Linked DNA regions of Mus musculus: all the other regions are reported to be linked to region 1. The links are microRNA targets in miRTarBase. Many come from high-throughput screens and were not tested one by one. Region 1 holds a microRNA gene; each other region holds the end of a gene's coding sequence.
The links. Region 1 holds the annotated microRNA mmu-miR-466f-3p (CAUACACACACACAUACACAC, at 2,430-2,450, opposite strand). A microRNA usually pairs through its seed, bases 2 to 8, with sites in the 3' UTR of a target mRNA and lowers its output. Matches are read on the target gene's strand: a 7mer-m8 pairs with bases 2 to 8, a 7mer-A1 pairs with bases 2 to 7 and ends in A, and an 8mer does both.

Region 2: miRTarBase lists Cavin3 as a target of mmu-miR-466f-3p. The part of its 3' UTR that is shown has no 7-base or 8-base seed match.
Region 3: the mRNA of Hif1an is a reported target of mmu-miR-466f-3p. Seed matches in the 3' UTR shown: 8mer at 3,219-3,226.
Region 4: the mRNA of Tcf7l2 is a reported target of mmu-miR-466f-3p. Seed matches in the 3' UTR shown: 8mer at 1,820-1,827.
Region 5: the mRNA of Taok3 is a reported target of mmu-miR-466f-3p. Seed matches in the 3' UTR shown: 8mer at 1,411-1,418 and 7mer-m8 at 1,651-1,657.
Region 6: miRTarBase lists Tcf4 as a target of mmu-miR-466f-3p. Seed matches in the 3' UTR shown: 7mer-m8 at 1,353-1,359 and 7mer-m8 at 1,071-1,077.
Region 7: the mRNA of Pcgf2 is a reported target of mmu-miR-466f-3p. Seed matches in the 3' UTR shown: 7mer-m8 at 3,415-3,421 and 7mer-m8 at 3,405-3,411.

Annotation. Positions count from the first base shown.
Region 1 is chr2:10,470,233-10,474,456 of GRCm38, reverse strand. It overlaps Mir466f-3 (microRNA 466f-3), which reads right to left and starts at 2,504; the gene lies at 2,411-2,504. All of the region lies in intron 10 of Sfmbt2 (Scm-like with four mbt domains 2), which reads right to left. It overlaps Mir669d-2 (microRNA 669d-2), which reads right to left and starts at 2,813; the gene lies at 2,728-2,813. It overlaps Mir297a-2 (microRNA 297a-2), which reads right to left and starts at 2,203; the gene lies at 2,114-2,203. It also overlaps Mir466o, Mir467c, Mir466b-1 and Mir669a-3.
Region 2 is chr7:105,477,427-105,481,426 of GRCm38, reverse strand. It overlaps Cavin3 (caveolae associated 3), which reads left to right. Exons shown (of 2, transcript NM_028444.1): 2 at 208-811. The coding sequence ends at 606. Among named protein-coding and RNA genes, the nearest start is that of Cavin3, 2.8 kb to the left of the region's middle.
Region 3 is chr19:44,570,504-44,574,727 of GRCm38, reverse strand. Hif1an (hypoxia-inducible factor 1, alpha subunit inhibitor) reads right to left here. Exons shown (of 8, transcript NM_176958.3): 8 at 1-3,614. The coding sequence ends at 3,570. Among named protein-coding and RNA genes, the nearest start is that of Hif1an, 9.8 kb to the right of the region's middle.
Region 4 is chr19:55,930,886-55,935,109 of GRCm38, forward strand. Tcf7l2 (transcription factor 7 like 2, T cell specific, HMG box) reads left to right here. Exons shown (of 15, transcript NM_001331146.1): 15 at 549-2,770. The coding sequence ends at 972. Among named protein-coding and RNA genes, the nearest start is that of Gm52391, 5.1 kb to the right of the region's middle.
Region 5 is chr5:117,273,413-117,277,636 of GRCm38, forward strand. It overlaps Taok3 (TAO kinase 3), which reads left to right. Exons shown (of 21, transcript NM_001199685.1): 21 at 261-1,689. The coding sequence ends at 422. Among named protein-coding and RNA genes, the nearest start is that of Pebp1, 12 kb to the right of the region's middle.
Region 6 is chr18:69,682,200-69,686,423 of GRCm38, reverse strand. It overlaps Tcf4 (transcription factor 4), which reads right to left. Exons shown (of 20, transcript NM_013685.2): 19 at 3,601-3,741; 20 at 1-3,347. The coding sequence ends at 3,605. Among named protein-coding and RNA genes, the nearest start is that of Gm31439, 30 kb to the right of the region's middle.
Region 7 is chr11:97,686,318-97,690,541 of GRCm38, forward strand. It overlaps Pcgf2 (polycomb group ring finger 2), which reads right to left. Exons shown (of 10, transcript NM_001163308.1): 10 at 2,506-4,041. The coding sequence ends at 3,670. It overlaps Cisd3 (CDGSH iron sulfur domain 3), which reads left to right. Exons shown (of 3, transcript NM_001085500.3): 2 at 184-303; 3 at 1,951-2,308. The coding sequence ends at 2,130. Among named protein-coding and RNA genes, the nearest start is that of Cisd3, 2.5 kb to the left of the region's middle.

The DNA.
Region 1 (4,224 bases):
CACACATGCACATACATGGAGGAATCACAGGCTGATCTCTCATGAGGATAAGTATGAATTTGAACTCCTGATACTCTTAACTCTAGCAAGCATTTTCACTCTAAGTCACTTATCACTCAAATGGATTGATGAGTGCCATTCCCATGTGTCTGTGTGCTCATATGTGTCTTATGTGTGCGTGTATGTATATGTATATCATATTCACACATGTACATGTACACACACATCAACACATACACACATTCATAGGGGCAATCACATGAATGCCAGGATGACCTCTAACTCATCATGCCTTTACCATGAACTTGCACTCCTGATCTTCCCGACTCTACCAAGGGTTTTCCCGTGGTTTGTGAGACCTCACCCTGGCCCAGTCATACATAACCTCCAAAGCAGTAGGTCACATATCATTCAAATGGATCCGTGAGGGCCATTCTCGCATGTCTGTGTGCATGTGTGTATAGGTGTGTGTATGTATATGCATAAAATATACACACATATACATGCACGCACTTATGCACAAAGGCACATGCATAGGGGCCATCACATTATTCCAGGATGATCTCTAACTGCTCATGAAGTTAAGCATGAATTTGCACTCCTGAGACTCCTAACTCTGGCAAGCAGTTTTCATCTGGTAAGTGAGATGTTTTGCTATCCCATGAATATACACTCAATGAAACTCTAAGCATGCATAAATCAAATGGATGACTACCATGTGTGTTTGTGTGCACATGTATGTGTCCATATGTGTGTGTATATGTGTATGTATGTATGTATATATATATATATATATACACATATATATATATATATATATATGCATGTTCATATACCCACATTTACATGCACACGTACCTATACACATATACACATACACGGGGACAATCACAGAAATTCCAGGCTGTTCTCTAACTCATCATGAAGTTAAACATGAATTTGAACTCCATATTCTCCTCCCTCTGGCAACAATATTCACCTCCTAACTGAGACATAGTTCTGGCCATTCCTGTGAGTATGTGTGCATACAGCTATGTGCATATTCATGTAGAGAAGTGAATATGCACACAGCTATACACACATGCACATTCTTGGAGGGCATCACATGAATCGCATGCTGATCTCTACTCATCATGAATTAAATATGATTTTGAACTCCTCATCCTCCTGACTCTGGCAAGAGTACTCACCTCCTAACTGAGCCATAGCTCTGGCCCAGTACTGCATAAGCTCTAAAGCTCTAAGTCACATACCATTCAAAAGGATATATGAGTGGCATTCCTGTGCGTGCATGCGTGTATATGCATATTCATATAGAGAAGTGAATATGCACACAACTATACACACATGCACATTCTTGATGGACATCACATGAGTCGCATGCTGAACTCTAACTCATCATGAAGTTAAACATGAATTTGTACTCCAGGACCACCTGACTCTGGCAAGGGATTTCACCTGCTGAGTGAGACCTCTCCCTATTCAGTACTGCAGAATCTTAAAACTCTTAGTCACACGTCATTCAAATGGATCGATGAGTTGCATTCATGTTTGTGTGTCTGTGTACATGTCTATGCGTGTGTAGATATGTATATTCATATACACAATCCACACACAGGTACACGCATGTACACATACATGGGGGCATCACATGAATCCCAGGCAGATTTCTAAGTCATCATGAAATAAAGCATGAATTTGACCTCCTGACCTCCTGATTCTAACAAGCATTTTTAATATGATGGGTGATAACTCTCCCTGACCTAGTCACACATAATCTCCAAAGCTCTCAGTCACATAGATTGATGAGTGAGTGCCATTCCTGTGTGTCTATGTGCTCATATGTGTCTTATGTGTGCATGTATGTATATCATATTCACACATGTACATGTACACACACATCAACACATACACACATACATAGGGGCAATCACATGAATGCCAGGATGACCTCTAACTCATCATGCCTTTACCATGACCTTGAACTCCTGATTATCTTGACTCTGGCAAGGGTCTTTACTTGGTGAGTGAATCCTCTCCCTGGCCCAGTCATACAGAATCTCTAAGACTCTAAGACACATATCATTCAAATAGATCGATGAGTGGCAGTTTTGGGTTTGTGTGCATGCTTGTATGGGTATGTGCGTATGTATATGTATACTCATATACACACATGCACATGCACACATACATATACACACAGGCACATACACTGGGGGCATCACATGAATCAGAAGCTGATCCCGGACTCAACATGAAGTTGAGAATGAATTTCGACTCCTGATCCTCCTGACTCTGGCAAGATTTCCACCTTGTGAGTGAGAGCACTCACTGGCCCAGTACTACATAATCTCTAAAACTCTAAGTCACATATCATTCAAATGAATAAATGAGTGTCGTGTGTGTGTGTGTGTGTGTGTGTTGCGTGCGTGTGTATGTGTGTGTGTATGTATACATATATTCATATACACACATGCACATGCACACACACGTAAACACACATGCACATACATGAGGGGCATAACATGAATGTCTGGATGATCACTAACTGAAATTGAGCATGAATATGAACTCCTGATCCTCCTGACTCTGTCAACAACTTTCACCTGGTGAGTGAGACCGTTCATTGACACACTACTGCATAATCTATAAGACTCTAAGTCACATATCATTCAAATGGATCAATGAGTGCCATTCCTGTGTTTATGTTTATGTTTTTGTGTTTCCGTGCATGCGTGTGTATATGGGTGTGTATGTATATGTATATTCATATAGACACATATACATGCACACACAAGTATACACACATGCACATATATAGGGGGCATCACATGAATCCAGGATGATCTCTTACTCCTCATGAAGTTAAGCATGATTTTCAACTCCTATACCTCCTGACTCTAACAAGGGTTTTCACCAGGTGTGTGAGAATTGACACTGGCCCTGTCATACATAATCTCCAAAGGTCTAAGTCACATATCATTAAAATGCATCGATGAGTACCATTCCTACATGTATGTTTGCATGTGTGTGTATATGTGTGTATGTATATGTATATTCACATAAACACATGTACATGCATACACTTCTGCACACATGCACATAAACGGGGGACATCACATGAATCCCAGACTGATTGCTACCTCATCATGAATTTAATATGAATTTGAACTCCTCATCCTCCTGACTCTGGCAAGAGTACTTAACCTCCTAACTGAGACATAGCTCTTGATCAGTACTGCATAAGCTCTAAAGTTCTAAGTCACATACCATTCAAAAGGATATATGAGTGCCATTCCTGTGTGTGCTTGCGTGTATGTGCATATTCATATAGAGAAGTGAATATGCACACAGCTATACACACATGCACATTCTTGTTGGGCATCACATGAATCGCATGATGAACTCTAACTCATCATGAAGTTAAACATGAATTTGAACTCCAGATCCTCCAGACTCTGGCAAGCGTTTCACCTCCTAACTGAGACATAGCTCTGGATCACTACCGCATAAGCGCTAAAGCTCTATGGCACATATCATTTCAAAGGATATATGAGTGGCATTACTGTGTGTGCATGTGTGTATATGCATATTCATATAGAGAAGTGAATATGCACACAACTCTAACACATGCACATTCTTGGTGTGCATCACATCAATTGCATACTGATCTCTAAATCGTTGTGAAATTAAGCATGAATTTGAACTCCTGATCCTCCTGACTCTGGCAAGTGTTTCACCTAGTGAGTGAGACTTCTCCTTGACCCATTTATACATAGCTCTAAAACATTAAGTTACATATCATTCAAATGGATAGATGAGTATCAATTTTGAGTTTGTGTGTGTGTGTGTGTATTTGTGTGTGTCTCTGTGTGTGTGCATGTTGTGTTGGTTAGTTTATATGTGTATATTTATATGCATATATTAACATGCACACATACATATATGCACACATGCACATACATAAGAAACATCCCAGTCTGATTTCTATCTCTTCATGAAGTAAATTTTGTATTTGAACTCTCTCTTCACCTGACTCTGGCAAGTGTTTTTACCTTATGAGTGAGACTATTACTGACCCAGTACTACATAATATTTAAAGCTCTAAATTATATATCATACAAATGGATCAATGAGTGCCATTCATGTGTGTGTGTGTCCATGCATGCATGTATGTTTGTGTGTATGTATATGTATATTCATATACACATATACACATGAACA
Region 2 (4,000 bases), not on the chromosome of region 1:
TCCACTTTCCCCCTCTTTGCTCATCTCTCTGCTCCTCCATCCTCCCCATCCCCCATCTTCCCATTCCTCTATTTTGGCCCCAATTCCTAGTGCAGATGCAAAGGGTGGAGTAGCTTCCCTTGGCGGGCGGGCAAGAGAGTTTCAGGCTGGTCCTGGCTAAGTGCCAGGGTCAAATCAGAGAATCAAAAGCTGTGTCATCACATTTAGGAGGAGACTGAAATTCCAGCCCGCGCCTTCCAGAAAGTCCCAGAGCTCTTGGGTCCGGAGGACCAGTTGGTGCTGGGCCCAGATCAGCCAGAGGATGAAGTTGGAGAGAGTTCTGAAGAGGAGCCAGTGGAGTCCAGGGCTCAGCGGCTGCGCCGCACTGGTTTACAGAAAGTTCAAAGCCTGAAAAGGGCTCTTTCCAGTCGTAAAGCAGCACAGCCCACACCAGTCAAGCCGCCACGCGTAGGGCCTGTCCGGAGCTCTGAAGGCCCATCAGAAGGCCAGCCTGCAGCTCAGCCTGAAATGGAGTCCGAGCTCGAGACTGCCCTGGAGCCAGAACCTCCTCAACCTACCAAGGAAGATCCTGAGAAACCCGTGCTTCAAATAGAGAGCGCAGCCTGATCCCTGGGGCTGCCTGTCCCATTCGGTGCTTAAGCCTTGTCCCAAAATAAGTACTTATAGAGTGCAGCACTTACATCCAAATAAGGAGAGAATCCTGCATCCACTGCCCAGCTCCAAAGCTTCCTTCCTGGCTTTCCAGTCTGAACCCTGTGTCCTCTGACAGAGGAGCTTTCAGCCTAATTTAGGTTCACCACCAATAAAAGCAATTTTCTCTAACCCAGACTCAATGAGAAAGGGCGAGCGACAATGCGCATGGCTTGGGGAAGGAATGGGCTGAATGACAAACGTTCTCACTTTTCACCGAATCCTGGGTCCTCCATTGGCACGGAGAAATATTGGCCACTTACTGCTTAAATACATTCCTCTTGGGGACACATAAGTACAACTTTGGGGCCCGGCCTGGGGCGGGGCAGTATGCAGTTCTTTGAAGAAAACGCCCTAGTTAATGTCAGCTAATGCACTCTTCCTACTTCTGGTGTCTGACACTCACAGACAGCTCACACCATTGGGTTGGGGTGCATTTAGAAAGCAATCCAAAAACAGCCCTTGGTCTACTTTCCTTCTGCCAACAAAACAAAACAAAGCACACAAAGCACTCATTGTTTTCAAAACCAAATGAGTAATCTGATAGGTTGAGAGAATCCAGGCCTCCTAGAATCGAGCATCTCTCACAATGAGTGTGACGAACTGACTGTGTCTTCATGTCAATGCATAAAATAAAAAAAAAATAGGACCTCCATGTTTTTTAGATCTTGTTAGGGTTTGAATCTGAAAGGTTCCCTGAAGGCTCATTGTTGGGAGCTTGCTAGCTTTCTGTGTGTGTGTATGTGTGTGTGTGTGTGTTAGAATGGCTTGTGATCTAATCAATGGAGTATGCCCTTGATTTATCCATAGTATGTCAGTCTTATTGGGAGACAGAGAAAAGAAGGAGGTTAGACTTAGTTGGAGAAAGCAGACAGATGGATGCTATGCCTGCTGCCACAATCTGCCTCATTTCAGGCCAAAAGCCGGCACCCATTTTAAAAATTTAAAAACCAATCTTCTCAGTAGTTAGTATAGCATGCAGAATTAATTTCCCACTTGATGCATAATAGAGAAACTGCAGTGTTAATTCCCCGTTGAGGGGACATGTCATGTCAGTCTCATGGACTTTCAAATATTCTGGAATGTTTGATGTTCACCACCATTTATGTGGGCACTCCCATATCCAGCACAAGCGCAGTCATCATAAATACCAGTGGGCACGGTGTGTGTGTGTGTGTGTGTGTGTGTGTGTGTGTGATGGATTAGCTACTACCTTCTTAGGAAAGGGGTCTGCGTGTAAGCCCAGCTGCTTGAAGTCGGCCAAGCTTCTCACTCCTTGGCCAGGTAGGGCAGAAGCACAGCTGGTTGCTCATGATGTCTTACTACGGGTGTACAGATAGCAGCTGGCCCACACATCTGGTGGAGCTGCTATGGGTGCTGTGACTAGATCTGAGGAATGGCTGAGACACCAGTGGGTACTTCTGGGCCAGATGGCACACACAGAAGACGTGCATGTGATTGGGAGACAACCTGCTCTCTTATGTCACTTAAGGGACAGAAGTTGCCCAGTGACTCTGGAAGTTTGTTTTTTATCATATTAAACAAACAAACAGAAGCATTGTATCTCTGCATATGTGTGGAGGTTATAGGACAACTTTTCCTGGTTGCTCTCTTTTCCCGCTGTGGGAACTGAACTCGGATCACCAGGTTTATGCACACACACATTCCTACCCCTGGGGCCATCCTTGGCCCTTTATTTTCTAATTTAAAACATTCTTTTTAGGTTTATTTTCTGTGTTCTGCCTGCATGTATGTATGTGCACCACATGTATGCCTAATGCCCACAGAAGCCAGAAGAGAGCACTGGGACTTCTGGAACTGAGTGACAGATAGTTGTGAGCTAGGAACTGAACCCAGGTCCTCTGCAAGAGCAATGGATGTCCTTAACTGCTGAACCATCTCTCCAGCTCCTATATTCTTTTATAGCTTTTGAATAAGCTCCATTCAAAACCAACAGTCATCTATTGAGTGCCTACTATGTGGCAGGCCCTGCTGAGTATGATTCAGAATTAAAGTTAAGCTTTCTGGTTGGATAAACGATTCTGTCGCTCCCTCACACAAGGAAGCAATGATCATGGACTTGACTCCCCGTTCACATTCTTATCTGTAGCCCTTTTAGGCAGTCTTTCACGGGACCAGGGTTAGACTGCCTGCCATATCCTGCCAGTCTCCCGATTCACCCCCTTATTGTCTCTTATCACCTTCACAATAGAGCTAAAGCTTCCCACTGTCCCTGAAGACCTCTTGTGAGTTGGTTCCTTCTGTCTCTTGCTGGGTGTCCTCACGCAAGACGGTCTCTGGTTAAAAACTCCGAGCACTGAAATGATGTCACAAGTGGGAGATCACACCTCACCTCATGTGACAGGTCACTATGGGAATGCTGTTGCACCAAATGTTTTATACAGAAATTCCCTTCAAGCTATGCTTATGAACTGCATGAAAACACAAGCATGTGGGCTCAGGGTCCAGCCCCAAGAGCTCTCATTGTACTGAAACTATGTTGTCGTGTTGAGCTACGTGATCTAAATCTCATCTCCTAGAAAACTCAGCAAGGCACACCTGTTTCAGGGTCCAGAGCACTACTTGCTCAGTCCTCAATGCTCTATGACCTGGTCGTGGTTGTGGTTGCTACCTCACCCCACTCTGCCAGACTGACAACTGCACTGGAGGAAGTTCCACTCATTGTTTTTGTGCTGCTGGTGCTCCTTCTGACCACATGGTGTCACTATTGGGGTACCAGTGTCCTAGCTGCTGCTTCATCCAACATTCCACAACTCTGTCAGCTTGGTTTGACTTTCCAGAAAGGGAACAGTTGATTCACTTGACTTTGTTGGTCTGGGGCACAGGGGGAAATTGGAGGCTCCTCCTGCAGGCTCCCAAACCTTAGCATTCACACCACACCACACCACACCACACCACACCACACCACACCACACCACACCAGGTTGCTGCCTTTACTTTCAGAAATCTGCCACTCACAGGGACAGGAAAAATAAAGCCTCGACTTTTCAAATCCCTAGGAATCCACCTGACTTCTCTCTTTTAACTCAAAACAAAAGGAAGGCCTTAGAAGAATATTTTGTACCCAAAAGGTCTAGGTTCTTAATTTCCAGAAATTTCTAGAAACCCAAAGACTTGGCGAACTTCCAAGAAGGTAGAATGTTAGTTTTCATTTTTTCCTAATTGGTCTACAGTAGCAAATAATTGAATCAAATGAAAACAAAATTAGCTCTGTTTCTTAATAGGCCACTTGGTTACATTATGTTCTCAATTGTCACAGTTACAGTAATTGCTAATGAGGTTATAGATG
Region 3 (4,224 bases), not on the chromosome of region 1:
GGACTCTCCATTTTTCAATAGCCACATCACTGGGTCACTGAGCCAGGAACCTCAGTGTTCCCCACAGCAATGGCTCGCTGATCCAGAGTAAGACAACGCTGCTGAGAGGCCGAGTCTCCTCCCAGACAGCCTGTGCTGGACCAGCTCTTCCTCACACCCCTCCTTGCACATACCTAGGCTCTGCTACTCTTCATACGGTTTCCTTTCCAACTTCCACCAGTGTCTGGGGTTTGATGAAGCTCAGGCTTCCCACACAAGCTCAAGTGCTTCGAAGTGACAGATCCCTGTCACAGGTGGGGCGCAACAGTGCTGACTACTACAGAGATCCTTCCTGTAACTGAGCACACGCAGTAACCAGCCTACCTACCTTCAACTGCGAGGGCTCAGGCAGAAAGATGTCTGTTTGCAAACCCACCTCAAGCTGGGCCTGGACTCCAGTCTATGAAGGCATACAAACTCCACCCACACTTGTGGGAACTCCAAAAGGGTACCTGGCCCACAAGATTCTGGGGTCAGAAATAGGGAGTGTCTCCCCATACTAGGTTGGCCCAATAGTAAGGAGCCTTCCCCTCTCTGTCTCCTAACAGATTCAGATTAATGATGGCTCATTCCTAATTGTCAAATTTCTTTTCCTTCATCCTGTGTCTAATCACCAGTGACAGAAACCATTACGCAAATGAGAGCAGACGACTTCCCCCAACTGTTCGCGTTGGTAAAAACCTTGTAATTTAGAGCTCTGATTTGTAGGGGAAGCTGGTCTCCCCCAGGCATCCTGGGCATCTGCTCAACTGATGCCCAGAACAGCCCCTCCTCCACCCCATAACTCTAACCCCCCAGCAAATATTTGACTTCACAAAACAGTAGTTTTCACTGTACTGCTGGTATAAACACGAGAGCCTGCAAGATGGCTGACCCCTGGACAAGCCCAGGTCTCCACCTTCCTTGGCACGTCTGACTCCCAGGCTGTTGGCTAGAATGGGTACACAATAGTGATGCCTGCTCTGCTGCAAGTACAACTGGAGCCTCAACAGCCCTAGGGTTGAGACCCTAGCCTAGGTGAGTCCCTGCTTGCCATCCCCAGGAGGAAGTGGCCCAGCAGAATATGAATCGGGTTACCAGAGCTTCCTCTCAGCATGCAGAGGTGTGGTGAGAGGAGCTACAGGACCTACAGCACCCCTTTCCCCCGCAGGGCCGAAGCTCACTCTTCTGCTTCTTCCCAGAACCCTTAGCTTGTTAAGATGGCTTTCTAGGCAGCTTTTCCATGTCTCTAGCTGAACCCCCAAAGCCTTTCACCCTTCCACACCCTCTTGCCTGAGTCTACCTGCACACTCTCTAGGGAACAAGGCTTGAGGTGAGGTAGAGAACCAACAGCATTTGGAAGAAATGGAGGAGCAGGGAGTAGTGGGTTTATAGCTAAATGGCATTAGGTTTGCTCTTGACTACCACGCAGCACTGTGAGGGACAGAGCTAGAAACAACAGGTACACATCAGGTGTCTAAGACCAGGAACAGCCATGACATCATCCCAGCATCAGGGCCAATCCTGTGATGGTGCCTAAGCTCACCTTCTCTCTCGCTGCCCTCAGCCACCCTAGGTCAGACCTGTGAGAGCAGAGTTATACTGAAGGGTCAACCGAGCAGATCCAGACTCCCTGCCACACATCCCAGACACCTTTGAGGGCAGAGCCAGGACCATAGATCTGCGGAGAATGAAAATCCGCCACGGTGGCCAAACTAATACCACTCTGCCTCCCTCTTCTGCTGCATCCCTCGTTCCCAAAAGAGATGGAGGCATGCGTTTGCCGCGATCACACTGCCCAGCACGGGCTGTATTTAAAGAGCCATACTCAAGAAGGTACCAAGTCTGCGCAACCACACTGCAGAGCCCAGAGTGGGGGCTAGAGCTCCCGCCCCTAAACGCACACGGGTGCACAAGCATTCGCCTGCATCTGTTCAGTCCATGGGGCGCTGTAAGCTGAGCTTCAGGGCTAAGACCCACAGCTTGAACACGGGAGGTCAAATCTACAGGGAAGGGGACTAAAAGGTGGCAAAGAAAAGAATAAAATCAGACTTCCAACTCCAATTTTAGAGAAAAAAGGTTGACAGAGAAGGAAGGGACTTGAGGTAAGTGGACACGGGGCCACCACTCTGCCAAGCTGCTGGGGCCCCATTCCCTCTTAACAGATACAAATGATTGCGCTCTGTGTTGTGTAACACAGAGCTATAAGCTGCAGCCCCGAGGAGGGCTCCCATAAACAGCTACCAACAGAAAAGTAAATTCTATCTCCAAGCTCTCCCAGCTCTACTCCAGCTCACATGCGACGCTTTGTTGGGTCTGGCAGAGGCGCTGGCTCTAAGAGGCAAGAGGACATTTTTTTTCCCCTTGCCCTGAGGTGGATGAAAGGTATTGAGTTAGCTGCCTAAGTCTGACCCCATTTCATCTACTCAGCCAGGAAGCTCAGCAGGAGCAGGGATGTGGTTCAGACAGGGAAAGACACAGGACTGGGAGGCTTGAGCCAGTCAGCTTTAGGTAGGCTGCAGTAAGATCTGACCAAGACGGGATGGCTAAAATCCGAGTGTAAAAGCTCTAGGCTGAGTCAGGCAGTATCTGGGGTTCACGCTGTACTGCCACACTGGACAATGTTAGCAGTTGAGAACCTTAGTAAGCAAGAAGGATGGCAAGTGTGATCACACATGCATACAAGTGTGCAGATGTGTACACACACATGCAGAGGTTCATACCCCTCGAGCCCAAAAAAGTCAGAGCTAGAATCCCTCATTGCAGCACAGGGACAGGAGCTGGTACTGAAGAGAACGGCTGCAAATGCCTGTATTTGGACATATGCACAATCCTGGTTTCAGGTCCCCAAGTTTTCCTTCTATGTATGGCTTAAGCATGTAGTTCTCAACTGGAATCTTATCTAATCCTCTTCCACTAGAAGGCTACCTCCCAAAGATAAGCCTCCTTCTCAATGTCCCCATTAGGGCCCCAGCAGTTATTGCCACCTGGTTTGTAGCCTGACTATGCTGCAAAAACTGGCAGAAGGCAGACTCATGTGCAGAGTCATTCTGGCACCACAGCCCAGATGTTGTAGGGACACAGGAGCATCTCTCCTCCCAGGCTGAGGCACTGAGGCTTCAGGAGACAGGAGCTGAGAGCCAGAAGTGACATCCTGACCCAGGAAGAGGGAACAAGGAACAGATACATGCATGTGTGTGTATACACACATGCATATGCACACATGTACACACACACACACACCCTGAGGTTAACAGACTAACACAGACATGATTACAACCAGAAGCTGGGACTCCACACACTAAATGCAGGACTTCAGGGGGGCAGAGGGAAGGTTCTGGGGCTCAAGAGGCAAGGGTGAGAAACCTTTCCAAATGGGAGTGGAGTCAACTACCCTGCCTTGCCTCAGACACCTGCCTCCAGGGCCATGGCAAGAGTCCAGTCCATTAAGTGCAGCGTGCAATACTAGTGCTTGGAGTGTCCTGTCCTCATCAACGAAGCATGTGGACAGGATAGCAGTCACCTGACAGGAGGCCTTGACCTCTGGCAGGTTAGTTGTAACGGCCTTTAATCATGGTGTTCAACAAAGGCCCCACCTGTAAAGAGATATGAGAAGCCAATCAGAACTGCCTATCTCCCGATCCTGGCGTAGGACTGGGTGTACCTAGAGACATGCAATTTTCAGCTAAGGGCAGGGACAAATGCTCTTCAGTTCTTGTAAGTTTTCTAATCAACTTTCCTGAATGTCAACTTAATATTCTATGACAGTGACCCTTTGGAGGTCCAGTTTCTTTTCCTCCCCTTTTATAATACCCCGTGTATCTGTAAGCAGCACCCATCAAACAGGAAATGGTCTGAGGAGCCAATAACCTCCAAACACCGAAAAGTGTGTCTGCGGGCTTCTCCAATGAGCCTGAAGAATCTTAAATGCTTCTCCATCCTCAACAAAAGGCCACCTGCAGTTAGTGCTAGTGCTCTCAACCCCACAGGCACCTCTGATGCTGAGACGAACCACAGGCAGGAGGTAAGGCAAGTAAAATGCACACCTCCCTCTTTTACCAATGGACCGTAATGTACCTGGGGATGAAGCAGGACTCAGCACTACCTAGAGCAGCCCTGGCCCAGCTGGGAGAGCACGGGGAGATCCTTACTACACACTTCCCGTTCCGTAAGAATCCGCTCAGGGGTCCCCAGATGGCACACACG
Region 4 (4,224 bases), not on the chromosome of region 1:
GTGGTGTGTTAAAACCTTTAAGCCTCTTTCTACGCTGCCTTCAGCTATATGGGCTCAACAGTCAGCATTCTGAGGGTTTCATATTGATAAGAGGCCACTGGGGAAGGAGCTGTTTTTCTTTTAAATACACTGAGGCATCACTGGGGACCGAGGGGTTGGGGTGGATCATTGGGAGGGCGGGCAAGATGTGATGGGAAAAGGAAGAGAATCTAAGCCCAGAGGGAGATAAACTGTGTTAGTCGTCATATAGACAAGCCCACTTCCCAGTGAATGTGTACCACTCTCTGCAGGTCACTTCCATCAGTCTGCTCAATGAGGCCCTGGGCTGGTCCTGTGATGGGAGGGAGGGTGTAGCTAGGCAAATCAGAGTGGACCTGGGAGCCTCACAGCCCACCGAAGTCACTGCTTTTAATTGCTCCGTGACCTCGGGCCATGACTTGCAGGGGGACATCCCTTAGGTGACATCAACTTGCCGTGAGCATTAGATAACTCTCTCCCCTGGCGTCTTTGCCCTTTATTCACAGACAACTCTCTCCCCCTGTTTCTAGGAGAAAAAAAAAGTGCGTTCGCTACATACAAGGTGAAGGCAGCTGCCTCAGCCCACCCTCTTCAGATGGAAGCTTACTAGACTCGCCTCCCCCCTCACCGCATCTGCTAGGCTCCCCTCCCCAAGACGCCAAGTCACAGACTGAGCAGACCCAGCCGCTCTCGCTGTCCCTGAAGCCTGATCCTCTGGCCCACCTGTCCATGATGCCTCCGCCACCCGCGCTCCTGTTGGCCGAAGCTGCCCACGGCAAGGCCTCTGCCCTCTGTCCCAATGGGGCTCTGGACCTGCCACCTGCCGCTCTGCAGCCGTCCATGGTCCCTTCCTCATCGCTCGCACAACCATCAACTTCTTCCTTACATTCCCACAACTCGCTGGCTGGAACGCAACCCCAGCCTCTGTCTCTGGTGACCAAGTCTTTAGAATAGCTCCGCCTCCTCGTCCTCCATGCCCCTGCTTGATTGAAGTGTTTCCTTCTGGTTCTTGGTTCGCCCTTCCCCGCTTGGAAAGCTTTTGTTTTGTACTCTTTAATTTTGTGCCGCCGTGGCTACATGAGTTAATGTTTATGGAGTTCATTGGTCAATATTTGACCCATTCTTATTTCAATTTCTCCTTTTAAATATGTAGATGAGAAAAACCTCATGATTCTACCAAAATTTTTATCAACAGCTGTTTAAAGTCTTTGTAGCGTTTAAAAAATATATTATATATACATAACTGTTATGTAGTTCGGATAGCTTAGTTTTAAAAGACTGATTTAAAAAACAAAAAGAAAAAAAAGAGAGAGAAGCAATTTTGAAGCACCCTCCAGAAGGAGTTGGTTCTGTGTTATTTGTATTAAATACGAGCTTGCGAACCAATCACTTTACACCTTGGTATTTAAACCACGAGGGCACAAGGAATGCAGTGCCGTTTCTTTCTTTCTTTTTTTCTTTCTTTTTTTTTTCCTCCCAGTGTGAAACAACTTTTACCTTGATGTTACTTGTTATTGTTTAAATGTACAGAAACAAAGGGTTAAAATGTGTTAATATACCTTGTTCCATGGTGTTGTTCTTTTGGGGGGGAGGGGACACCACTCAACAATGAATGGAATCAACACTGTTGGACCAGTAGTATTTATTGCTTTAGAGGTTGCTTGCTGTACCTGTATGTCCGTCCAATTTTAAATATGTTTTCCCTTTTTTTTGAAACTGTGTAAAGTCCCCCCCAACCTTAGCGTAAGCATCTTATATATAACAACTCATTTGTACAAGGTTTTTAAGTTTATATATAAAATGTGTATATATTTTTTTGTTTCCTTTTTTTTTTTTTTTTGGCGTACGTTCGTTCGTTCGTTTGTTTGTTTCTGTATAAAACCCAGATGCCACCAAATGGACATTGACATTCGCATTAAGGATCAGTAGCATTAACAAAACTTGCTTTAAAAGCCATTCTGTAAAACAAGACTTGAACATTAGCGAGAGGGTCTGAGCAGCCGTCTGAGCAGCCGTGGGAACTGCCCCGTTTCCCCCTTGACCTCCTAGTCAACTGCCCTGTGCTCTTAGAACATGGACTGACCGTGTGCAAAACTTTTATGTGCCAAAATTCTCAGTGACTTTAGCTTTCTCCCTCCTTTTTGATGCTGTACTTTCTGTTCGCCATGTTTTGCTGTGATGTTACATAGATAGATTTGTATGTAGTTTTAATGTCACCTATAACAAAATGTGTTTGGTAGCAGACTGTCCAGAAAGCATTTTAAATGAAGAGGTCTAAACCCTTAAGGGCCAAAAAAAATCCTGTATATTAGATTACTCTTAAATGAAAAAGAAAAAAAGAAAAAAAAAAACCCCAGCTGCCGCTTTTATGTATGCATATTACATACAAGTAGGTAGTGACCTTTAAAAACAAGAAAACCTAGGCATGCCGATGTTGTAAAATGCTGTATAAAGCTGAGACCTGTTCCTTCAGTGCCATCGTAGTTGACATGAAGCGATTGTAAAACTGTCTCCGGTTTTCTCTGGTTTATTAAAATGCTAACTATAACATTTTCTTTTCTTTTTTTTTTTTTGTGAATACTTTGAATGTCTCCCTAACAGTTGTGGTGTTGCTGTTCTGTTCGATGCTTATTCCAAGTTCATTTTTTTGAATGGTTTTGAAGCCATTTTGTAATGAATTAAATGTCCATGCTGTACAGTACCTGTAGCATGCCTGCCGTTCTGGATTAATAAAAGCAACTTAGTATGTGCAGAAAGGCTGGCCGCTTGCTTCTGTGACTTGGGGGTGGGAGTGTCTTACCGGACACTGGACTTTCTCTGGAGGGGTGCATTCCCTTCCAGGTTAGGGCTTGAGGTGGTGTGGGTAGCATGTAGTGGTGGGTGTTTCATTGTGGTGAAGTGTCCTGTGTACAAAGGGACCCTAGGGTGTCTTCTTTATACCCCACTGTGTCACAATAACTGAACAGACACTGCTTGCCTGGCCATTTCTCACTCATACAGCCTGTTGTGCAGTGTGAGACAGAATTTGATTTTAAAAACTGATTTAGTTCACCCTGAGTGGATTTAAAGAACTGAGTGGGTACCACTTAAGGATGGTGAGTGTGAGTATGCCCTGACTGTTCTCTAGACATTCCCTGTGGGAAGAAGGCAGGGATGTATCTAGCAATCACTGAGCGAGCAGCTTTTCAGAAAACTGGCATCCCACTCACTGAGCTGTGTGCATGGAGGGGAGGGGACTCACAGCTGTGCATGGAGGGGAGAGGATTCACAGAGCTCTGCATTAGAAGGGTCCTGCTGTTCTGGAGACCTATGCTACAGGTTATCTACTGGAATAACTTCAAGTTTATCCCTATCACTGAGGAGGGTCGCAGTGAAGATCTTCCTGTGGTCATTGGGTGTCTCTTCTCAATGTCCATTGGATGGAATTTTTATTGTCCACATGTCTAGGACAGCTGCGCCTTCTGAGGGTAGACATTTTACGCATCCCAGAACCCTTTGTGTGACTGTCACTTAAGATTACTATGATGTTGGGTCAAGAACTTTCCAGAGCTCTGCCTCGCTTGGGCTAGCTGTGGGTCTGTGTACTTTCTGTATTTTGTTTTGTTGTGCTTTGTACGTTGTAAGAGTATTTCTGATCAGCCTTCCCTACTGTATTCTGTACACAGGCCCCAGACTGACCTTTGAGAATAGAAATAAGAGCACTGTGCTTCTGGTGGCTGTGTGCCAAGCTGTCCCCGTGCATTTTCTCATTAATCCTACCACCACTGAAAGAAGTCACCCCTGCTGGCATTAGCTTTATTTATAACAATGGATTGAGAAATACAATGTAATCTTGTCCAAGGCCATAGTTGGTAGAAGGGGGAATTGGAGGGACTTCAGTGGAGACCTGGCTTCGAGCCATGTTCTCAACATCAAGTTAAGCCTTCCCATGTTAGAGATGGCTCTTCTCTGGTGGATAGGATAGGACAGGCCTTACTTGCCTCTGCCTCTGCCTCAGCCTACGTCAACCTTGATCACCTGCTCGCTCTCAGGAAATCCAGCTCTCAAGAGTTCCCCCAAAGCATTGCTGTTCTTGCTGGGAGCTCCTCCTCAAACCTCTGGTCTCCCTCCAGAGAGCACTCTCCCGTGGCCAGAACCTGTGATGCTTTTCCTCTGTGCTCTTGGAGCCCCCCAGTCCCCTCCCTGTAGCTCCCTAACCACTTCCAC
Region 5 (4,224 bases), not on the chromosome of region 1:
CTCAGGGCTCCATGCACTTGCATACGCGCGCAGGCGTGTGTGTGTGTGTGTGTGTGTGTGTGTGTGTGGGGTGTGGTGTGTGGTGTGTGTGGTGTGTGTGTGTGTGGTGTGTGTGTGGTGTGTGTGTGTGTGTGTGTGTGTGTGTGTGTGTGTGTGTGTGTGTGTGTGTGTGTGTGTGGTGTGTGTAGGGGGTGGAGGGGGGATTCCTCGTGGCTGTGGGCCGGGCATCAGCACTGAGAGCCACTTGTGTGCTTGTGCAGATTGAAGAGGAGCTGGCTGCCCTGCAGAAGGAACGCAGTGAGAGGATCAAGACTCTCCTGGAGAGACAAGAGCGAGAGACCGAGACTTTTGACATGGAGAGCCTCAGAATGGGCTTTGGGAATTTGGTGACATTAGATTTTCCTAAGGAGGACTATAGATGAGATTAAATTTTTTTGCCATTTACAAAAAAAAAATGAAAAAAAGAAAACAAAAAAATTCAGACCCTGCGAAACTACATTCCCCATCTTAACGGGCGCTGCTCTCTCTCTCTCTCTCTCTCTCTCTCTCTCTCTCTCTCTTTCTTTCTCTCTTCCTCCCTCTCTCTCCTCCCCCTTATCTCCCTCCCTCTCTCTGCCCCTCTCTCTCCCTCCCTGCCTCCTCCCTCTCTCTACCCCTCCCTCTCTCTCTCCCCTCACCTCTCTCTCTCCCTCTCTCTCTCTCCCTGACACCGTGTCGCACTAGTGCCTGTTGATTCTTACTCCATCAGGGGCCCTTTCCTCCCCCCCATGTCAACTTTCAGTGCTGGCCGAGACCCGGCCGCCCCTGCCGTCCACCACCTGCATTGCGGTGCCGGCGACGACGCGGTTCCGGATGTCCTGCTGAAAACCTTGGAGGTGGTTTTAGGGTCTGTCAACCAACAAACGGCGATGGAACACAGATGGATGTTGCTTTGAGCAATCCCTCGTTGTCACCAACCAGTGAAAGTAAAGCAAAAAAAAGAGAAAATACCTAAAGAAACCTAAATAAACAATACATGCCAAGGGGGAGAGAGACACAAAATCCGCAGCCTTACACCTTAACCAGCTGCTGCATAACTTTATTTTATTTTATTTTTTTGGTATTTATTCATCAGGAATTAAAAAAAAAACAAAGTTTTATTAAAGATTGAAAATTTGATACATTTTACAGGAACTAATTGTGATGTACATACGAAGTGGTAACATATTATTACTATTTTGGGGCCGGGGTGGGTGGGAGGGGTGAAGAGATCTTGTGGTTTTTAAGAACCTGCCGGCAAGAGTTTGCCTTGCCGTCAGCCTGGTCTACTGTATCCCAGCATCCTCTGCGGTTGCAGATGGTGCGAGGACACTTAAAGGAGCTCACAGAATCCCAGTAGCACAAAATTGGGCTTTGGCAAATCATGTATTTTGTGTATAGAGGGAATCTAAGGAGAGGAATTGCTTATTTTCATATTGTATTTTAACTGTTTCTCTGATCAGAATTTTTTTACTTCCTCCTCCTGTTCCTCCCCTGCCCCCCACGCCCACTCCCCACTCCAGTCTCTGGAGTTCAATGTCTTCTCTGCCAATCATCTCTGTTTATTTCTCCTTCCCTTCCCCACGCCCCCTATCTGTGGTCATAAATATTGCATTATCCATCCTTTCAAACTGTGTATTTTCTTACAATAAAAAATGATGACGAGAAAAAGGCTCCGCTCCTTTTGCATGCACTTAAAAAAAGAAAACATTTTTCAGGTCCCAAGGAAGAGCATGATTAACTGTCAGGGCTTTTAATTATATTTGTAAATAAAAGTGTTCGTCACATCGCCTGGCTGTGTTCTTGTAGCAGGATTTCCCTTCCAGGTCCCTCTGGGGATGACTCTGGGGGCTGGCTGGGCCCTCCTGGATCCCTGCTCAGGGCCTTGGCTGCTGCTCCTCCCAGAAGGATGCTGAGGGAAAAGCCCAGTCTTCCAGTTTCTTCTCCTGGACCGAGATGGAGGAGCGCTGTTTGATGTGCTCCGAGAGACGGGCCCAGCCTGGGTGCCCCTAGCCGTAGAAGCAGGAGCCACACACACCCTGCAGAGGCTCCCGTGGTCTCAGGCAAGAGGACTGGAGCCCACGAAGGAAAGCAGGCCATGGAAGAAGCATGGGCCACTCCCACTGGAAGCTGTCCTGGGATAGCCCAGACTCCATCCCTTCCTGGTTCCTCTCACTGGAAGTAACTATAGAGAAAAATTGCACTTCCGGGATATGGTTTTAGGGTCAGGACAATCTCATACCTGTAACCTTAGCTCTGCCAGCCAGGCATATTGAAAATTGGATCTTGCTTTTTTTTTTTTTTTTTTTTTTGTCATTATTGTCTCTTTCTTTTTCTCTCCTTCTTTCTTCTCTGGGTTTTGTTTTCCTTCCCCTCTGCCCCGCTCCCCAGAACTCACAATATAGACCAGGCTAGCCTCCAACTCACAGAAATTCTTCTACCTCCACCCCACCCCAACCTCCCCCAAAGGACTGGGATTAAAGGCCGGTGTCCGTCACACCTAGCGCAGTTTTGTGTTTTCCTACTGACCTGAGAGCTGGGCCGCTTCGACCTGCTTAGCCAGGCTGAGGTCACATGAAGTCATGCTAATAAGTAAGCTCTCTGTCACTGAGTGGGCCCCAGCCCCCATCACTGCTTTTTGAATTCGGACCTGAGGACCATCCTTGGATCCTGTGGAAGGGTGAGTTACCAAATACAAACGTAACCCGTCGGTCTCACTGTGACAAACTGACGACATACTAAATCCAACTACGATAAAATTACAAGTAGTTATTACCGTGGGTTAACTCCTCCATAGAGCCTATGGTAACAGCCGCCCAACCTCCCAGGCCACTGAGCCCCTTTATCTCTTTGGTCAGCATATTGAAAGTAACATTGGAGGAGCCAGGAGTGGTGGCACAGAGCCTTTAATCCCAGAGCTAGGGAGAACGAGATCTCGGTGAGTTCGAAGCCAGCCTGGTCTACAGAGAAACCCTGTTTCGAAAAACCAAAGAAACCAACTGTGATAGGGATGCTAAACTATTAGCTCTCCACAACTGACAGCTTCTGGGGAGAGGGGGATGTGGCATGGGAAGTACTCAGTTACATTTAAGGGGGGGTGGAGGTCACAAGGGTGAAGTGACTGACACGGACGGACTGGGACGTGAATGTGATCGGGGTGCATTATGTGAAATTCCCAGAGAATCAATAAAAATATTACCTTGAAGAAAAAGAATTTATTCTAAACCCAGGCAGTGGTGGTACACACCTCTAATTTCAGCACTCGGGAGATGGCAGAGGCAGAGGCAGGAGGCAGGAGGCAGGAGGCAGGAGGCAGAGGCAGAGGCAGAGGCAGAGGCAGAGGCAGAGGCAGAGGCAGAGGCAGAGGCAGGCAGATCTCTGAGTTTGAGGCCAGCCTGGTCTACAGCGTGAGTTCCAAGACAGCCAGGGCTACACTGAGAAACCCTGTCTTGAAAGAAAAAAAAAAAAAATCTTTAAACCCATGAGGCAATAGATACCATGTATATAATCCCCTTCTCCTCAGCCTCTCTGTGAGGGGTGTAAGGGGGAGCTAGCTGCTGGGAGGATGGGATGTGTGTCCTGCACCAAAGGCCTGGCACAGTCTCCCACACCTTTGTGTAGTTGTGTGGGAAGGGAACTGGGATGGCCTAGAGAGACAGCAGAAGTACCTGTGAGTGCAGGAGCACGGCTCTGGGCCCCACCCCCAGCACCGCAAAAATAATCAGAGAACAACACAGCCAGCATCCTCCTTCCTGGCATATAGTAAATACCCCTGGGTTTAAAAAATGATTATAAAAACAGGTTTATGGACTGGCAGGATAGCCTGATGGGTAACAGTGCTTGCTGCCAAGTCCAAGTTCAAACCCTGGAGCCCACATGATAAAAGGCAAAAACCCACTCCTGCAAATTGTCCTCTGACCTCTCCACAGGCGCCCTGGCATGTGCGTGCGCATGTGCACACACAAAAGAAATGATTTTTTAAAACGTGTTTGTCAGGCATATAGCTAAGGCATAGCTGGTAATCCTTGATCTGTAATTATGGAGGCTATTTACTGAGTGCCTGCCATGTCTCTCCGAGATGCCTGAGGGGTGTCAATGTGCCTCAGACAGGAGGATGTTAGCAGTCAAATGGAGACGATCTCAGGACTGGAAGAAACCCCGAGACTAGTGATTATGATGAATGACTGATAGAAAGTCCTATGGACG
Region 6 (4,224 bases), not on the chromosome of region 1:
TGCTTTCAAAGTCTCTTAAACCGATCCTGCACCTAAGCCTCACCGCCTTCGTGTATGTCTAGTATAGGATGAACACTTATGAAATGTTTGTGTAGTATTTTAATCCTGACTTCTGCTAAGTTTCTTTCAAAAATCCAGTGCAGGAATACCAATATCTTACCTGGGTTTGATAATTACAAAATAACAACAAGGAAAACAAAACAAAACAAAACAAAACAAAACCAACACGTTAAAACGGCCACATTTCCTTTCTCCTTCTTTTTAAAACTGGAGATACACCTGATTACTACAAAGAGGGTCAGATCAGGTTTCCGCACCAAGCAGAAAGTAGCCAGCAGCTGCTGCTGGCCTTTGGGGAGTCTTTTGCTTATTTCCAAAAGGAATTTGACAATAGCCATATTACATTACCAAGTAATGAATACATCAAAGCTGGTGAGAACATGAAATTGCAGCTTTTTCTCTGTCCGAGTGAGAACAAAATATAAAAGCACCAATTGAAAAAAAAAATCTCAAATGATTTAATTTAAAAATTTAATTTTTTGCTTTGTTTACAGAGTTGAAAAACTTTGATTCTGCTTTAGTAAGCACCTTTATGATAACATGTATCAAAAGTGCCACTCTGAAGATATCCATCAATGCGGGGAGGATTTCCAGTTCCCTAAAGAGTAAACACCATATTCTTTTCTATACGCTTCTCCTGAATGTGATCGGACGATACCTGTTTCCTATATAATAATATTGTTCCTAGGGATACCCGCCTTGGCAGACTATACAAAATGAGTGCAGAATGTATCACGGAAAGAAAATCTTTAACATGGTGAGAGACCACGTACACATGTTTTCCATCGTTCAGGGAGGAGGGGAAGTTACTGTCTTTCTTCTTTGCCCTTCTTGGAGCACCTTTGTGCCACCGCATCACAGCAAAGTCCCCGAAGAACTTTTTATGAGATTTGATTCCTGCTATTCCCCTACATTTTCAATCCACCTCCACATTTTAGGAACTTCTCAACAAATCAAAGCATTTTAGTTTTATCGCTACTGAACATATTTACAATTTTCAACACACACACATACACACACACACACACACACACACACGCGCAAGAGCACACACGCACACACATGCACACAGCTAATCAAAATGTTCATGGGTTTGTAAAAGGTGACCACGTGGTAACTATCTTATTTGTTCTTACATTTTCAGAAATGAACATAAATTTCAGATTCTTGTAGCTCACTATTTCATTTAAATGACTTTTTAAAACCACACAGTTTAAAAAAAAACAAAAAACTGATACAATGTATTAAAACACATAATAACAAGAGTCTACATGTAAAAATATAACTTTTACATACACAGTTTCAAAATAATGATAGGTTTGCCATTGGTTGCATAAAATTTACAGATGTGTTTCGTCACTATGTAACTGGTAGTTCAGGACAACAAATGGGGTATTTAGACCATTTCCGCGGAGTTATGGCATTTACTCAGTGCTGATAGGTGGAAAAACTACTTCAACAGGGATTTTTTTTTTCCTTAATACATGCCAAGATTGTGTGGCTGTCAAAACAGAACCGAGTTAGAGACAAAAGGATGCTGACAAATGCTTACGTAGGAGTCCTATGTGTTCACTGCACTACACACCAAAGTCCATTGTTGGAAAGACTTACGATGGGAATTGGTTCAATTGTGCCCAGAGTCAACGCTAGCTATCTGATGAGTTGCTGTGCCGTAGTTTGATCTATGTTTCTATCAAATGTTAAGTATAAACTTCACTCATACTGGCCAGAGAGAATACTGCGTTACCCCTCCTCACAAAAGTGCAACTTAATGCTTTAGGGCTTATAAGGCTTGTTATAATGCTGCATGATTGGTTGGCATTTTTTTTTTTTTTCAGACGAAGGAGGAGGCAGGTAAGTCATCTACTTTTTAGTAAACCCATTTTGAAAAAAAAATCAAGAAAGCAACAAAAATCAATCAGCTCTGTCACACTCCTTGCAATTTTCTCATTTGACGGTTTTTGAACTTGACTTTCTTTTTTAGTTTTTTTTTCTTTTTTTCTTTTTTTTTTTTTTTTTTAATTTTTGTATTTTTTCCAAAAAAAATCTGACCATGTATTCAGAAACGTCTCGGTCACTGCACACTACTTCGGCTACACAGGTAGGTAACACTTGAATCGTTTTTTTTGTTAAATCACAGCCACTTTGATTATGTTATGTTTCCGATGATATAAACATTGGAAGGCACAGTGGTAACATTGTAGCATTCTAACCGTGTACCTCTGAAAATCCCAGGGGAGGGTAACAAGGGCAGCGCCACAAGCCAGACAAACGCTTTTTGCCTCGCCCGGGCAATGCTGCATGTAATTCCTACACATGATGTGACTTTTAAGTCCTGTGTTCCCAAAAGACTGGAGAAACAACTTTTTACTATTTGTGAATGAGAAGCAACTTCAGGGTCAGCATTTCGTCCTGCACTGCCCCTCCGGAAGCAGAGTTGGCACTACAGGTTACGATAACAAACCGGGGGAAGGGACAAAAATCAGACAAAAAAAAAAATCCATATTTACAGTAAAATCTTTCTTTTAAAAAAGTTAATCAGTACTATTTTTTTACAGGAGAAAAAAGTCTGAAACAAATCAACAAAAGCTTACCATAGTCACTAAATTTTTAATATATATTTATATATATATTTATATATATATTTGTCATAGGTCTATAACATCCATCTGTCCCTCCTACCCTAAGGAATGGCTAATGTCATCACTTCGTTGCCATCAGGACGTTTGCTGGTTTTGTTACGAGGGCAGCCGGGCTTCCCCTATTCAATATCCGGTAATTAGAAACACTAGCTGACGTGAATACCAACAAAAACGTTCATGTCGTTTTCTTCAGAAGTACACTTTTTCATTATTGCAAGTTTACAATTTTTTTTTAAATTAAATATTTTTTTCAGACTTACAAATTAATTATATTTTTTTTTTCCAAAAGAAGTTTAGGCACAAATGCATTGCTCCACAGTGTGGGAGGATTGCCATTCAGTCTCTGGGCTGTGTCTCAGCCTGTACATACCGCTTCGCACATTCAGAGTGATATGTTAAAGAAGTCGTCCCTCAAGTTGCATTTTTTTCTTTCTTTCTTTCTTTCATTCATTTTTTTGTTTGTTTTTCTGTTTTTTGATAATTGGGAATGCTGAAACCTCTTGCGTCTGCGATTCATAACTACTCAGACTTGTCTTATATTACAAAAAAAAACGGGGTTAAGGAGCAGTGTTTATGTGGGTTTAGGGTAATACAGCTGTTAAGGAAGTGGTCTCTTGTTTAATGAAGCAAGGTAGCAACTTGGACCTGAAAAAAGAAAAGGAGAAAAAAACAATTAATATAGTGATAGAAAATTTTTTTATTATGATTTTTTAAAGTGTCCCCCCCCCCCTTTTAAGAACTAAAAATAATTGGTTAATCTGGGGAAAACCTGTTGTTTGTGGCTCATGTGCCACAGGGAACTATGGGGTAGCAGCGGAACTGTGGGGTAGCAGCGGAACTGTGGGGTAGCAGCGGAACTGTGGGGTAGCAGCAATGGCGGAAAGCTCACCCAGCGTACCTTTTCACATCTGTCCCATGTGATTCGCTGCGTCTCCCATCCCAGGGTGTGGGCCAGCCAAGGAGAGTGGGGGAGGCTCTGAGGACACCTTCTCTTCCTCCCTTCTTTTCAGACAGGCAGCTTTCGGGTTCAGATTCCTTTCTGTGGAACATGAAAGCACAAGTCATCCCATCACCCATCAGCACGGGACTCCACAGAGGGTCGAGGAGCGCTTCTCTGCGCATGCCCGACTTTCAGACTCCATTTCACGTGACAGGACGAGGGAAGAAGTTAGGGAAGGTGTGCTACCCGGTGGCCCATCTCAATGGCCATTAACTGCATGCAGAATCTACCACTTTACAGTATACAGGAAGGTATAACGGCTTAGGCCTGACATCCCTGCACTTGAGGGTCTGCGTCAGGAACATTGCAAACGTAAGGTCAGTCTGTGCTATAGAGTTCTGGGCTAGACTGAGCTACACTGCAAAAGCCTTCATCAAAATGAGAACAACAGTTCTAAACAACAGGCCAGGAAGATAGGATGGCGCATTAGGAGTGATTACTGTGAACGCATTGAGGACCCGGGTTCAGTTACTAAGCACCCACAGAAAAAAAGTCAGGGGTGGCGTCAAGCTTGCAGTACAG
Region 7 (4,224 bases), not on the chromosome of region 1:
GCTCTAGGGAAGGTTTGGTGGACCAGAGGGCAGAAGGCAAGGAACCAGGTCTCCCACTGAGGGGAGGACAGCCACCTGATTTCAAGCCCCAGAGTTTGAAGAAGAGTTACAGAACCCCCCGCCAACTAAAAGTATATCCAAGACTTGGGATCATCCCGAGTCACTCATCCACCCTGATCATAGGCCCGATGGTTCCCCAAAGACCCAGCCAAGCCAGTGGTGGCACAGAAGACACCCATCAGATTGGAGCTGGTTGCCGGGAAAACCTACAGGTGGTGTGTATGTGGCCGAAGCAAGAATCAGGTGAGTTACTCCTGTAGCTTTTCCTTTAGATGTGACACAGCCTGATCTCTGACGCTAACGGTTAGGCCTGGCAGTGTGACACGCAAACATCCATCTCCTCCTCTCCACGTGCTTGGGGTCAGCATGGTCTATCCTGGGGACTTTCAGTCCGTCCACATTTCCCTTCTTTCTGTATATAGGTGAGATACATACAATTGGGGGATGGGGCTCGATGGCAGGAACCAGCTCACAGGTCAGGGACACCACTATCAGGATGGCCATTGTCAGTGTATGTCCATGTCCCTCCCCAGGAGCCTAGGAGGTACAGAAGGGCCACAGCTCTGTGGCTGACTCAGTCTCCTCGAAGGCTGCCCGCCCTGCTCCTTCCAAGCAGCCCATGTGCCAGGCCTTGGTCCTCACAGCTGGGAGGATTCTGTTCAGTCTTCCCTGATGTCCCCTCCCAGGTCTCTTTTCACCTTGGATGTGACTTTTCCTGCTTGCCTGCTGCCATCCGATGCCATCCCAGCTGTACAGGAGCCCTTCACTGTAGCCGGAGCTTCTCCCTTTCATTCTGGAGAACTCTGTCCTGTTTCCCATGCTGTGGTTGAGACCATAAATCCAGCTCTGGAGGCTTCCTTTGTGGCCTTTGAACAGATATTCCAGAGGGTGGGGCAGTTTCAAGGGCATGCCAGCCAGAGGATTGTGGGTACATGCCCATGCCCTTTAGGCAGGGTGCTGGTTTTCTAGTTTTCACTAGTTCATCTCTCCGCACACTCTGCCCCTGACAAGGCCTCTCCCCTCCTTGGGCCTCTGTCTTCACCATCCTTTGAAGGGTTCTCCTGTGAGATGTGGTGCTCACATTCATAGTGGTACTCTAGGCAGGCTGTTGTAGACACCCCCTTGCTTACAGGCAAGACTGACCCCACCCTACAAAGGCACTGCGCACTGGGCTCTCTCCCTCCCTGAGGAACATTGCAAAGAATGTTGCTTTCATGGGCCAATGGGGACTCAACCTCACCTAGCCGTTAAAAAAGAAAACCAAAACAAACAAAAACTGAGGTGAGGCTATGAACCTAACCCAGTGGATAGACCCTTTGTCTGCAGTGTGTGGAAGCCCTGGAATCTATCCATCCCCAACACGCAATAAACAGGGTGTAGCGACATACATCCATTGTCCTAGCCCTTGGAAGGTAGAGGCAGGATTGGTGTTCAAGGTCTGGGTTACATGAGAACCTGGCTGGGAAGTGCTCAGTGGATAAAGTTACTTGCTGACCTGTGTGATCCCCAGAGCCCACATGGTGAAAGGAGAAAACCATGCCCCCACAAGTTGTTGTGTGACTTCGTGTGTGTGTGTGTGTGTGTGTGTGTCTGGGGGTAGTAGCATTGCCTCTACTTGAGGCCCAGTTCTTGCAAATTGTGTGTGTGTGTGTGTGTCTGTGTGTGTGTGTGTCTTGGGGTAGTAGCATTGCCTCTACTTGAGGCCCAGTTCTTGCAAATTGTCCTGGTCTCTGGATCTCCCAAAGGTGACCAATGAGAAATGCTTGCAACATTATACAGAGACAGTATTCTCTTCATGACAGCCTTTCTGTGACCCCCACATTGCAGGGCTCGGGGAAACGAGAATGCTCCACTCCCCACCCTAACCTTTTTCTGTCTCTCTCTCACCAGCCCTTCTGTGATGGCTCCCACTTCTTCCAGCGTACTGGCCTTTCTCCACTCAAGTTCAAGGCCCAAGAGACACGCACAGTGGCCCTATGTACCTGCAAGGCCACTCAGCGGCCCCCTTACTGTGACGGTACCCACAAGAGTGAGCAGGTACAGAAAGCAGAAGTAGGTTCCCCACTCTGAGGGGGTACTGTGACTCCAGGCAGTAATGCTGAGCCACACATGGAAGGGAACCTCCAAGGACCCCATCTTGTTAGCAATTGTACCCTGAAAAACCTGTATTCTCCTGTTGGGCAGCTGAGAGCCAGGTCCAGCATCCGGTAAAGCTGTCAATAAACACTGAGGCCTGCCCTCTAACTAACTGTTTCTGTGGTCACTGGCAAGGCTCATGGGTCTTCTGCTAGAGTATGATCTGTGGAGGCGGAGGGTGTCTGGTGACCAAAGCAGGGTAGTTCAGATCCACTCCAGTTAGCACTGTAAGGTTGGGGAGCATACCACCGTCCTCACCGTCCTCCTCCTCTTCCTCCCCCTCCCTCTGTCCCAAAGAACCACAGGCTTGAGAGTGTACACAGCATTTATTACAAAGCCAAGAGATATAAATGACCTAGGACAGGAGGGTACAGTCACAGGACCTCAGACTCAGGACGTGGTGCAAACAGACCCATGGGCTCAGAACCTCACACACTAAGCCAACACCCTGTCCTCTTTCCCCCCCACCCTCCCCCCAAATCTATGTACACTTGAGGAAGAGCAGGCGAGAGCAAGGTCTGCCCCTAATAGGTGGTCCACCAGGTAGAGTTGGGGTCAGCTCATTCTTTTATTTTCTTGTGCTTCTAGATGCCTCTGTCCTATCCCTGCCTGGCCTCAGCTGGGGGGTGAGGCAGTGGACTGGAGGGCTGTTGGCTTTTGGCAGAACTGGAGTCTGTGCTTGTCTGGGGCCACCCTCTACTCTAGGCCCCCAGTGAGTGTCACCTCCAGTCTTGCTAGATTGCGTTCTTGGGTTGGGGTAGGACAGGAGAAAATGAAGTGTTCACCATGCCAAAGTCACATATAGACTTTATAGGGCCAGGTCTCCCACAGGAGGGTAGGGATGGAGGGTTGGGGGGGGGGCTTCCACTGTCTGAGGAGGTGAGGGAAATGCCTTCTTCACAGCCACTTGGTCCTCACTGCCAGAGGACACAGACTGCATTTGTGAAAGGCACTGACTGTCTCAGCAACTCTGAACATTCAACAACGGGGGGGTGGGGGTGGGGGTTTGGACAGGTATGGGGAACAGCCAAGATGGACCCACTAGTCAGCTAGGGCTAGGGGACCCAACACGCCCTCTGCCCTGGAAAGCAGAAGGGACATAGGGAAGGACATTAATACTTCCAATGGCCCCTTAAGACCACCAGATACACCCCCCAAGAAGAGCAGAGTGAACTACAAAGACCCCCTAGACCTAGACACCCCCACCCATACACACACATACACACACACACACACACACACACGAGTTTCCTGTGGCATTTAAATTAATCTGGTTGGTCCATAGAAAATAAGTATGTATATTTGGTTTTTCCTATGTACATATATATATTTATATATATATAGATTTATTTATAAAACCCACCTCCCACTCTGAAAATGGGAGGAACCAGGGAAAGTCAAAAGTGGAAAAGGGGGCCCAGAAAAAGTAAAAAGGAGGGAAAAGATGGCTGCGGAAGGAGAGGGTCCCTTTCCTCAAGGGGGGCAAGGAGCGCCATTAACAGTCATCTTGCGCCCCCTGCTGGTGGAGGATGGCGTTTGCAGGCAGTTCGAAGTGCCCCCATTGGTAGCTGTGGTGGTCCCAGCGGCAGTTGAAGGTGGAGTGGGGGAAGTAGGATGGGTAGCTGGGGGGCCGTGGGAGCTGGGAGAGCCATGGGATGGGGTCGCAGGGCTGGGCAAGGAGGAGGAGGTGGCCGGAAGGGTGGCAGGGCTGGGAGCCTTGTCGCTGACTGACTCACACTCTGATGCCCCGCTGGTGTTGGTGCCTTCTGAGGGGGTTGGCACCGTGGGCAGGGTGAGCCGCTTGCAGGCTGGCTGGACACGGTACTTGAGGGGGAGAGGCCCATTCTGTGGTGAGAAGGAAGAGGCCAGCAGTAAGAAAAGAGAGTGTCAGAACAAAGACGGACCAGGGGTGACCCTATCCCTATACCCAACCAAGGTTCAAACCAGGAGCAAAGGGAAGGTCTGAGCCCTGCAGAGTGAAGAGACAGAGACCCAGTGAAGAAAGAGTGTGGGGTTGGGCGGAGACCA